Linked DNA regions of Drosophila melanogaster. The protein of the gene in region 3 binds, or shares a complex with, the protein of the main gene of each other region. Each region holds a gene or a part of one and is shown on either strand. Other genes may lie near its edges.

The links.
Region 1: esc (region 3) and Caf1-55 share a complex: the UniProt entries of both Drosophila melanogaster proteins name them as parts of the polycomb repressive complex.
Region 2: esc (region 3) and E(z) share a complex: the UniProt entries of both Drosophila melanogaster proteins name them as parts of the polycomb repressive complex.

The regions. Positions count from the first base shown.
Region 1 is NT_033777.3:15,223,345-15,227,175, reverse strand, and holds the start of Caf1-55 (chromatin assembly factor 1, p55 subunit), read right to left. Parts: upstream 1,601-3,831; 5' UTR 1,284-1,600; coding exon 1,262-1,283; intron 1,211-1,261; coding exon 650-1,210; intron 540-649; coding exon 1-539. Other genes in the region: CG31344 (uncharacterized protein), read left to right, coding at 2,030-2,093, 2,242-2,434, 2,789-3,743. UniProt on the Drosophila melanogaster protein: Core histone-binding subunit that may target chromatin assembly factors, chromatin remodeling factors and histone deacetylases to their histone substrates in a manner that is regulated by nucleosomal DNA.
Region 2 is NT_037436.4:10,636,129-10,639,959, forward strand, and holds the start of E(z) (enhancer of zeste), read right to left. Parts: upstream 1,752-3,831; 5' UTR 1,634-1,751; coding exon 1,512-1,633; intron 1,450-1,511; coding exon 718-1,449; intron 657-717; coding exon 496-656; intron 313-495; coding exon 298-312; intron 1-297. Other genes in the region: Cnep1r2 (CTD nuclear envelope phosphatase 1 regulatory subunit 2), read left to right, coding at 2,176-2,197, 2,295-2,366, 2,426-2,572, 3,087-3,241; CG18628 (uncharacterized protein), read left to right, coding at 3,671-3,728, 3,792-3,831. UniProt on the Drosophila melanogaster protein: Polycomb group (PcG) protein. Catalytic subunit of the Esc/E(z) complex, which methylates 'Lys-9' and 'Lys-27' of histone H3, leading to transcriptional repression of the affected target gene.
Region 3 is NT_033779.5:11,827,552-11,831,151, reverse strand, and holds the start of esc (extra sexcombs), read left to right. Parts: upstream 1-1,746; 5' UTR 1,747-1,916; coding exon 1,917-1,976; intron 1,977-2,048; coding exon 2,049-2,182; intron 2,183-2,244; coding exon 2,245-2,416; intron 2,417-2,780; coding exon 2,781-3,600. Other genes in the region: Pde1c (phosphodiesterase 1c), read left to right, coding at 321-875. UniProt on the Drosophila melanogaster protein: Polycomb group (PcG) protein.

The DNA.
Region 1 (3,831 bases), on a different chromosome or scaffold from region 3:
ATGGATGAAGAGCAGCTCGGGTGGTCCGTCCTCAGCATCCTCCGTACTCTGCTCCTCGCCGATTTTGGACAAATCCCAGACGTGTAGGCGGCGGTCAGTGCCGGAGGAGGCGAGAATAGTCTCGTTATGCGGCGACCACTGCACTTGGAAGATCTCGTCCTTGTGCGACTCGAAGGAATGTAGTTTTAGCTTGAGGTTGCGCAGATCCCATAGAGCTACAGTCTTGTCAGCGGAGCCCGTGGCCAGAATGAACTCCGAGTAGGGATTAAAGCTCAAGCAATTGACTTCCGCTGTGTGAGCGTCCACTGTATGCGAGGGCTTCGAGGTGTTGTTGTTGCGCGTGTCCCAGATCATCAGCTTCTGGTCGTCAGCCACCGATCCGAACAGAGACTCATGTAGCAGATGCCAAGCCACGTCCTCAACAACGGCGGTGTGGCCGGTGAAGATGTTCTTGGCATCAATAACCCTATGCTCCTTGGGTGTGGCATTGATGTCCCACAAGCAGATGGTGTGATCATCAGAGGCTGACAGCAAATAGCCTGTAAGGACAATCAAGATGTTCATTAAGGGTTAAAACGTAATGCATTTTAGATGTGTCAAGCTCTTATCTGAGCTAATATATAAGTACTAGGTACAGCTACGCACTTACCATTGAGGTTGGGATTCCAAGAGAGTCCGTAGCCTTCCTTTTGATGACCGCGCAGCCGCAGGTCAGGCTGGCACTCGCCAGACGGTTCCGGCTTGCTGGGATGCTTCGTGTAGTCGAAGACCAGGACATCACTCGACGGCGTCTTGGTGGCGATTACACAGGCGTTCTGGGGCATGTAGCGGGCCCTGTTCACTTCGCCCTCGTGGTTGATCTTAATCTCGATTTCGATTTTGCCGCACACCGATCCAAAGCCTCCAAACTCGCCCTTCTCGTTATCGTAGTGCGAACCATCGAACTGGGCATCCTCGCTGGGCAACTGAACGCTGGCGATGAGTAGATGGTTCTGCTCGTCAGATGTGTGTGTGCCCAGTATAAGACGATGTACCGAGTAGTCCTTGCCATCCTGCTTGGTCACGTCCGGCAGCCACTGGGCAGTCAACGAGGGCCATTCCAGGGCATGCGTCATGACCAGATCGTACAGGAACGGCGTGTTCTTTTTCCAAATCTTATACTCCTCATTGATCACGCGCTCCTCGACGGCGTCGTCGAAGGATTCCGCTGCTAAAGGTCGATGGTTACACATTGCGGCGATTAACTTCTAACCGGACTTACCATTATCGCTGCGATCCACCATTTCGAGGCTTTTAGGCACGCAATTTCTCAGTCTGCGTCAAAAGTCGGCAGCCGAAAAAATCGGGCGCCAAAACAAAAGCCGAAGCGGCAAAACGTGTGCAGAAAAACTACGAAAGTTCGCTACGTAGTTAAAGCTCTCGCAACGAACACTTGACCGAAAGTCGTTGTGGCAGGGATTGAGTCGAATCCTGGCCGGGAACTTACACTTTAAACGGCGTAACGTCAGGGCAAAATAGAAATTGGCTAATTTCCTTCGTTTTTTTGCAAGCGCGTCGTCGATGATAGAGATGCAATGCTAAAGATTGTCGAGACGACTGCCATATTCGATTACGATAACGATAACAGAGTTATGGAGATGACACTGCGCGGTATTTTTATACTTGTTACGTTCCTGCGTCATGATTTTAGTATTTTGTGGTTTACATCGATATATTTGGGGTTTTAAAAGGTATATTTTAACGGTTGCAGTTGCGGGCACACTAAAGTGCATAAACAAAGTTTACTACTTAATTCGTTATCAGTGCGAATGATTCGAAACCAGTTTACGCGCCAATGACCGGCTTTCCATTCTTATTTGACGAGCCTAACGTGCCAGTTGCAGTTAAGTTCCCCAACCGCAACGACGGTGGGCAGCCGTGATTCATCCTCAACGCTTTTTTTCCAATTGTGTATGCAAAATGTTTTTGCACGTAACGAGCTGAACTATTGAGTTTGCTAAATAGTTTAACAAGCAATAATTTGGCCGACATGCAGGTTGATGGTTGTACCAGCAGCTCATCCGAGATCCCCCATCCCGCGAAGCGTGAAACGTGTAAGTGCACAGTGGACTTGTTGGCGGGTTGAATGAAAAACTTTCTCTCTTGGCGCGCCGACGATTTTGTTTGTCTTTTCTTTCTTTCACTTGTGTAATCCGAATTTGGACCTCAAGCTCGTTTTCTACATCGCACGTCACTTTCCAGGGATCAGTGGGAAAATGCAGTCGTCATCGCATTCCAAAGATGGTCATAATGCAGCGGGGGCTTCAAAACTGCTTCAGGATCACCAGGAGCCCGAGGACTACTTGGAGCACCTAATGAAGGAGGGCAGTCAGGAGGGCGACAGCGGTGCTGATTTGGAGCTACCTTCGTGGTACGATGAGCAGCTATTCAGGCGGTAAGTTGCGTGACTAATTGTTCACTGATTGCATATTAGCCCAGTAACCACAGTAGAAATAATTGTGATAATTACAATATCCATATACACATGGGTTATTTATAAGCTTGGAGTTATGTAGCAGTTTGCTATGTGAATAATAATGCGAAAAGGCAGCATATAATACTTATCTTTATCTGTGCTCATTATTCCAATTTTGTACCTACGGGCTTACATATTAATAACAAAAGGCGACATACATTTACTTTTAACAATATATATGTATATGTACATGTATGTATATGTATATTTTAATTTAAATAATATAACTGCATTCGAATTACTTAATTGATTCTTTATTCCTTTTCCTTGCAGTGGTCAGAGCTACTTTAGCACGTATCGCTTTGTAATGAACGCCGGAATGCTGGCTGGTCTTATTGCCGTGCTGGCTATTCCATCCATTCTCCGGGTGCTGTCGTGCACACGCCAATCCTCGACAGCGTTCACCGCCTACCGTCGCTATGTGCGTACTATATTCCACACGCAAGCCTGGTATAACCACAACATCGCGGACCGTGGCAGCAGGTTCTGGACCAGCATTGCGGCCGTGAGGCGGGCCCACAGCCGCTCCAGTCATGCGTGCGCCCGCCAAGGAGCTGGACAGATCACCCAGAAGGATTTGGCGCTCACGCAGTTCGGTTTCATTGGCTTCATAACGATGGGCGCACATCGCATAAAGCTGAAAGATCAGGACTTCCTGGAGGCCACTACGCATATGTGGCGCGTTCTCGGCTATCTGCTGGGCATCAAGGATGAGTACAACATCTGCGGTAGGAACTGGGCGGAGTCAAAGCTCCGCCTGGACATTGTGATGCGTAAGGTATACGAACCAGCTCTGGCAAACACTGGGGAGGATTTCAAACGAATGACCGAGGCCCTGATTAATGGCTTGTGGCACATAAACACCATGCTGTCGGTGAATGCCAACATATTCTTTGCCAAGCGATTGGCCTGCGTTAAGGGATACGAGTACTACAGTTTCGATCATGAGAACGGAGTGGCGCAGGATCCCCAGCAGAAGCTGCACTACTACGACATGGGATGGTGGGACCGATTCATAGTCAGCTACGGCCTGTTCCTCGTCACATATCTGCACAGGTATGCCCTGGTGCGATGGTACTTGAACTTCCGCGTCTGGCTGGTGGACATATTCACCTATTACTTGCCCTACGTCGCCATTTGGAAGTTTGGCCCGAAGTCCGCGTATGTGCGGATTTTCAGGAATGGCGGGGAAGCCCAAGACTTTGCCCTGGGCTTGAAGGACGATTAGATAGTGTTGTGTTTCAGTAGGTAAATTATCAATAAATATGCAAAGTAATTGTTGTAAAAGGAATGTTGAGTTTATATTTTAACCATAT
Region 2 (3,831 bases), on a different chromosome or scaffold from region 3:
ATCGGGCGAAAATCACTTGATGTCTATGAAACGCTTTTGGATTAGCATGAGGGTAATCGGTTACATTTGAAGAGATAGAGAGAAATGGTCCAGCCAAAGCCACACGAAAATGAGGTGAGCAACACCGAGGGGTCAATTTAGACACATGACAAACATAGCCAAATTATCCACCGATATGGGTTATTATAAAAATTATATTCATAGACAGCGAGATGAGGATGCGGAGGCGTTGACGGGCAAACGGCATGAGAGTGTGTGCGTGTGGTTATCGAAACAACAACTACAACAACGACTCACCCTGCACATGGTGACCTAAATTGCAATTAATTCAATACATTTTGGAATTTCGTTTTTTTTTTTGGGGGTTTAAGAAATGGTACAGATTTGTGTTTTTTGGTAAGATAATATTGTTTCCAAACAAGAAAAGAAAAGCAAAAACAAAACGTAAAGTCATTAGGTAACCCAGCTGGCAGCAGTTCCCATCGTTTAACTTACGGTGCAGGAAGCAGTCGTATTTGAAGCAACGACGACAGAAGAGCGTGTGAAAGGAGTGCATAGTCCTTTCCCGGGAAACGCTCTCGGCCTTGATGCCGTCAATGTTGGGTGTGCACTCCTGTGGGCGCTCCGGATCCTGGTGCTCCGTAAGCTCAATGTACCTAGCAAAAAGAAAAAGCCGTAAGAAGGGATATTTACTAACCTGGTTATCAAATTACATACTTTTCTTTGAGCTCTTGCGCGGTGCCCTTGTCTGGAAAGTTAGCGCTGATGGCCTGAAAAATAATGGGCGCAGGGAAGGGCAGCTTGTCCTTGACTTCTTCCACATCGGGCTTAACATCCGCATCTTCAGTCTCCAGCGGTTCTTCAGTTTCCTTCTTCTCAACTTCAGTCAGATCCCCTTTGCTGTCGGTTTTCTCAAGCTTCATGGGAGATTCACCATCTGCGTCAACATCAACTACCCCATCATCTTCGCCCTGTTTTGATTTCGCCAACGTCTCTGTTTTAATGGCAGTCGCTGTACCCGGAGCGGCTTCCTCCAGTTCCTTGCTGTAGGAGCGCATAAGGGCGTGCACCAGTTCTACGAAGATGGCATCGTCCATGAACGAGGGATCCTTGTCGCCGTGAACCTTGCCATCGTAGTTTTTGATCAGTTCCTCTATGAACTTGCCATCCTTATCGAGGACCTCGTCGCCCATATAGGGTATATTGTGCAGCACCGTCTCATCCTCCACCATGAAGTTCTGCTGTGTTGGTGCCCACGTGTACATGGTGGGTATGGGAGTGACCGCGTTGATCACGCAAATGGGCACCTTTTGCGGACCGCTGGGAATGCCATTGTAGCTAGTCACCTCCGCCCGCTTCACACAGTCCACATGCGGCGGATCGTAGGGTTTAGCCTGCCAAACCTTCGACTCGCAGTACAGATCCTGTACATTGTGGTTGTGCTCGTCCCTGGAGGATATGTGTACATAGATTTTCGATTCCCAGACATCCACCATCTCTCCCGCGCTTACCAGTTTCTTATCCACGCCTCCTTGATCTCGTCGGCACGTTTGTAGCGCTTCTGCTGCCTGATTTTGATGTACTCCGACTTGACACGCCTCTTCCACTCGGGCGGCACTTTAGTGCTATTCATAATGCCTTCGAGGGACTTTATATTTGTTGATTTTACGTATAAAAAACACTGATTTTGCTACAAATATTATCCGCCTTTTTTTGCAACAGCTGCCGCAGTGTGACCGTTGTACTGCAGGAAGAATAACTTAGACACATGGGTGTATGTAGAAGACCATTTAGTGGGTACTTAATTTGTCCGGTAAGCCATTAATTATATTTATATTATAATAAAAACTATGATATTTTTGTATTAAAATAATATAAATATAATATAAATAATACATAAATATAATACTCACTTTAAATTAGCTATACAACCATTTTGTACTGAAAGTAGGAAATAAACAAAGAGCCCCTCTTTGGTACGACCCTGCTTTGTGTAGTGTTGAGAAACGCAGCCCGTTATCAGTGCTCTCAAACGTGGAATGTCATCAAAAACATAAAAAGAGGAAAAGAAAGCTATGAGAACCTCATCAAATAATAATAATAAATACAATAATATTTAAACTGGACAAATTTAATCGCATTAAGACGGCCACGAGCTTTGAGGAAATAGCTGCAATGGAACCGTCAGCCTGCGAAGGTATGTAACTCGCCGGCAAAAGAGAGCCGGAAAACGCGCAAGCCACTGACTATGTTTACCAACCATAACTGGGTTTGTTTTCCTCGCTCCTCTGCAGATCTCAAGGCCTTCGAGCGGCGCCTCACCGAAGTGGTTTCATCGTACCGTCCCTCGACGTTCCGCTGGCGCAGTAAGTTGCATCCGTATAATGAGAACACCAGGGAGCATTACAATCCGTAATAACCATAGAGCTTCTTGCAGTTGTCCTTTCCGCCATGTCCATGTGCACCGCCATCAGCGCCTGGTACTGGCTACGCGATCCGCGCACCACCGTTGTACCGCTAACGGAGTCCCTCTGGATTCATCCCGTCTTCACAGTCGCCACCCTAACATTGGGTAAGAATCGGTGTAGCCACTACTGTACTCCGTACATAGGTCACTTTTTGTAGTCAACAGCGGCGGTCATTGAACCTCGGATATTCTACCTAGTATGGAGAATAATTTTAATACCAAGCCATACCATGCTATTTAAATCCATATAATCATATCGTAGAGCAAGTCGATACTATATATCAGGTTATCTCAGGCTACTCGGTAAAAAGAAAGGATCAAAATCAAGAATTTCAAATTTTTAGGTATTTCTACTGTTATTTTGAGTAGAATACACTCCTTATATCTATCACATCTATGCAAACTACATAAGTACATTCTCCAAATTTTAGCAACATTAGGTTGCCTTTAATCTTGTCAAAGCTCTTCGCTTTATCAAATTCGATTTGTATATATCAATATTGATAGTCCAACTGATTAAGAATTTTCAGCTAACAAACACTTCCATTTAATCTAATCTAATTTTTTTGGTTTGAAACTGACTTACTGATTTTGTAAACCTTATCATTTCTCTCCGCAGTCGTCCTGTTCATCCTGGGCATACAGAAACTAGTCATAGCTCCGCAAATAATTACATCGAGAACGCGAATGGTACTGGGAGACTTTAATATGAGCTGTGACGACACGGGGAAGCTGATACTCAAGCCGCGGCAAAGTAACAACAACAGTACATGAGCACCGGCCAGCTTCCAGGACGTTTATTTAGTTAATTGCTAGTTCCCTTACCCTTTTCTTTTTTCCTACATGTTGATTCGGACACCCTCGCTTTGTAAGCGTATTTTTAAAGTACCTCTTATTTCTCCCCTACACATTTTGTTTAATTATAGAAGCTCCTTTGTACAAAAAAACAAAAAGAAAAGAAATCAATTGTTAAGCTTTATGTGTTTCGTTAATGGCGTTACCCATCGCTGCCAAATACACCAAGCGACATTTCAATATCAATTCATCTATAACTAACGAGTTGCTCGCAAATTGTGCAACGACAAGTGTTTTTGTATATTTGGAGCGGTTTTTATCGAGCCGCATTCTGTATAAATAGGGAGTCTGTGCAGTTCCAAGGCATCAGAAGCAAGCAAGCCATCTGTACAACAAACCAGCTTTACCATGAAGTTCCTACTCGTGTGCACTCTCATCCTGGGCCTCGCCTTCTTCATGGCCTCTGGCAAGGATTGCAATGGGTTACGCTCGACAACAGCTCTACTTAACTGCTTCCCATACATTCTAGCCCTTCCCCAACTGAACAACGAGGCCCCCATGGTTGGCGA
Region 3 (3,600 bases):
CTGCCCCTACTAAACCCAAAAGCTTTATCACAATCTCTCAACTGATGTTCTATTTATATATTCTTTCTTTCTATTGCCAAAACTATTTACCTAAAACCAAAAAAAAAAAAAAACATGAAAACTAAATGAAAACTTTTGCACAAAACACACAAACAATCCGAATGCTATGCAACGTCAAATCAACGTGGTGTCTCGTTGCCCAAAAATTGCCCATTTGCATTTTCGCTGTTACTCACTGCCAACTGCTGGGCGCCGAAAAACTTGACCGCCTTGGCACTCGAAACTGGCGCCCAACGTATGCCGGCCATTTACTTCTGCAGGGAGGGCTGCAATGGGAATTGCAAGAACCTGAACTGCAGTCGCCATAGCCACGGACGCGATGACCAGCAGCAGGACAACAACAACTCCAATAGGAGTTGCAGCCTGCAGGAGGCGTCGCCTGGGGGAGCAGGTGCAGGTGTCACACCAGGCGCTGACAACCAGGACAGCATAGAGAGTCGCACCAAGGGCGTTTCCCAGGCGCCGCAGACCCACAGTGGCCCAACGGGTCCACCATCCAACACCTCGAGCGAAACTATCGCACAACCTGCCCCTAAGCTTCAACCCGCCCTGGAAACCGTAAGGGAATCGGTGATGGAAGAAAGTCCTTCGAAGGATCCCGGCGACAAGGGACCACCGCCGCCCGCCAGCACATCCACATTGACATCCCAAACCACCACCTCCTCCAGCGCAACCGCGGAGCCAAGTGCCAAGGCGGCCGAGAGTCAAGCGGGAAGTGCCGGCAGCAGTGGCAGTTGCAGTAACCCAGCGGCGGTGCATCGGCAACGCCGCCTAAGGACACCCACCTGGGCCAGGTCCATGTCGACGAACAAAACGTACTTGAAATTTGATTTCTATGCTAGACTAACGTTTATCCGTTACGCCTCTTCAGTTCGTTCGATTTGCCTTTATCGTTTCACGTTTGCGTTAACCAACCAACAACCACACAGCTCCAGAATGAACTACTTTCTATATATACACACATAACTCTATGAACTCTGTCTCTCTATCTCTCCTTTATCCAATCTATCCATCTGTCTGCTGACCTCTGTCTGCGATTTCCACTGCTGTAATCTTCTGTCTAGCCTCTGTCCCCTACCCCAAATCTTTTGCTCGCTTCTGTTGTAAATAACTATTTTATCCTAGACTAATCAAAAAAAAAAAAAGAAAAAAGGACACTTGTTTCGTTCCCCAGCCGCGCTCAGCGGGATTGTAAATGTTTCGTTGCCGCGTTTGGACAAAAAATTGCTTACTACGTTTAAATACTCCGTGCAACTATTAAATCAAACTTACATTCATACGTAGTAAGCACTTGAAGGAGTGAGAACTGGAAGATATACTTTAAATGTATTCAAAACTGCTTAAAGTATTTGTATGATACATTTGCATTTCTGAGAAACTATATCTTCCACTTTTGACGCCACTCGCAAGCAGCAACTCTCCTAGTCTTGTCGACCAGTGTAATTTTGTGAATACATGTACAAAGTTTGAATACCGCACATGAATCCATGGCATGTTGATTGTCCTACATTTGTTTGTTTTCTATATTAAAAAACTAGCTTGCGCATGTGTTTTGTCGTTTTTGAACTTTTTTTAACTTTCCCGCCTAAGTGTGTTAAATACCGTTTAATGTTTACCAACACTGGCCAGCCGATCGTGACCAGGTGGCCACGCTGCGCAATGGTAAGACCGTACTGCCTGCAATGCCTGGGTATTTTACGCGATCCGTGACTGGGGTCACACCATTGCCGCCAAAAAAAAACATTTTCATTCGCCTCGTTATTTAAACATTTAAAAAAAGCATTATCGAATAGTTCATTGAAGTCGCGGCCTAATTTGGGTTTCATTTAACCGTACAAACGTGCCGCGCGTTCGAAATGAGCAGTGATAAAGTGAAAAACGGCAACGAGCCCGAGGAGTCGGAGGAATCATGCGGCGTGAGTAGCGAATGACAAATGGCTGTGCGAACCGAGAATTAATGGATCTTTTGGGCCATGTGCCGGCTGCAGGATGAGTCGGCCAGCTATACCACCAACAGCACCACCTCGCGCAGCAAGTCCCCGTCATCCAGCACGCGCAGCAAGCGCCGCGGTCGCCGGAGCACCAAATCGAAGCCAAAAAGTCGCGCCGCCTACAAATACGAGTAAGAATATGCACTTTCTCAGCTGGCCACTGATACTGAACCTACAAATGATTACCATGAAGCACCCACGTGAAGGAGAACCACGGAGCCAACATCTTCGGCGTAGCCTTCAACACGCTGCTGGGCAAGGATGAGCCACAGGTCTTCGCTACGGCGGGCAGCAACCGGGTGACCGTCTACGAGTGCCCTCGACAGGGCGGGATGCAGCTGCTCCACTGCTATGCAGATCCGGATGTGAGTCGCCAGGATACAGAATACACTTTCAAGACCCTATTGATCAGTTGGCTAAAGTTAGGGGCTTCATACATTAGACATCGCATTCAAAGCTGTAGAAAAAGTGGGATCCAGTCAAAGTTTCTATTAAATCATTGCTTTTGTTAATTGTTTTAAAGTAAGAACAATCGTTACAGGCTTTCAGCATGGTTTCACAATATCCAAACATTTATCATTTCTTGTATTAAGTTTGGTTTTTCATAACAGTCAAGTTTTCAAATTAAAGCTTATATTGTTAATTTAGCCGAGAGTAACTGAGAATATGGTCGCAAATGTAATTGTACAAACTCGAAATACATCAACAAATCTTGAATTCCCTTCCCAGCCCGATGAAGTATTTTACACCTGCGCCTGGTCGTACGACCTTAAGACCTCTTCACCTCTCCTGGCCGCTGCTGGATACCGCGGAGTCATCCGGGTTATTGATGTCGAGCAGAATGAGGCGGTGGGCAACTACATTGGCCATGGACAGGCCATTAACGAGCTGAAGTTCCATCCGCACAAGCTACAGCTTTTGCTTTCGGGCAGCAAGGATCACGCGATAAGATTGTGGAACATCCAGAGCCATGTGTGCATTGCCATCCTGGGCGGAGTGGAGGGACATCGCGATGAGGTGCTGTCCATCGACTTTAATATGCGTGGAGATCGCATTGTGTCGAGCGGCATGGATCACTCGCTGAAGCTGTGGTGTCTGAATACGCCCGAGTTCCATCACAAGATCGAACTGTCGAACACTTTCAGCCAGGAGAAGTCAACGCTGCCTTTCCCCACGGTGACCAAGCACTTCCCCGATTTTTCAACGCGGGATATACACAGGAACTATGTGGACTGTGTGCAGTGGTTCGGCAACTTTGTGCTCTCCAAGTCCTGCGAAAATGCCATTGTCTGCTGGAAACCGGGACAACTACATCAGAGCTTCGAGCAGGTGAAGCCGAGCGACTCCTCCTGCACGATAATTGCGGAATTCGAGTACGACGAGTGCGAGATCTGGTTCGTGAGATTCGGCTTCAATCCGTGGCAGAAGGTGATTGCCCTGGGCAATCAGCAGGGCAAGGTGTATGTGTGGGAGCTGGATCCCAGCGATCCCGAGGGCGCACACATGACCACCCTGCACAATTCGCGTAGCGTGGCCACTGTGCGCCAGA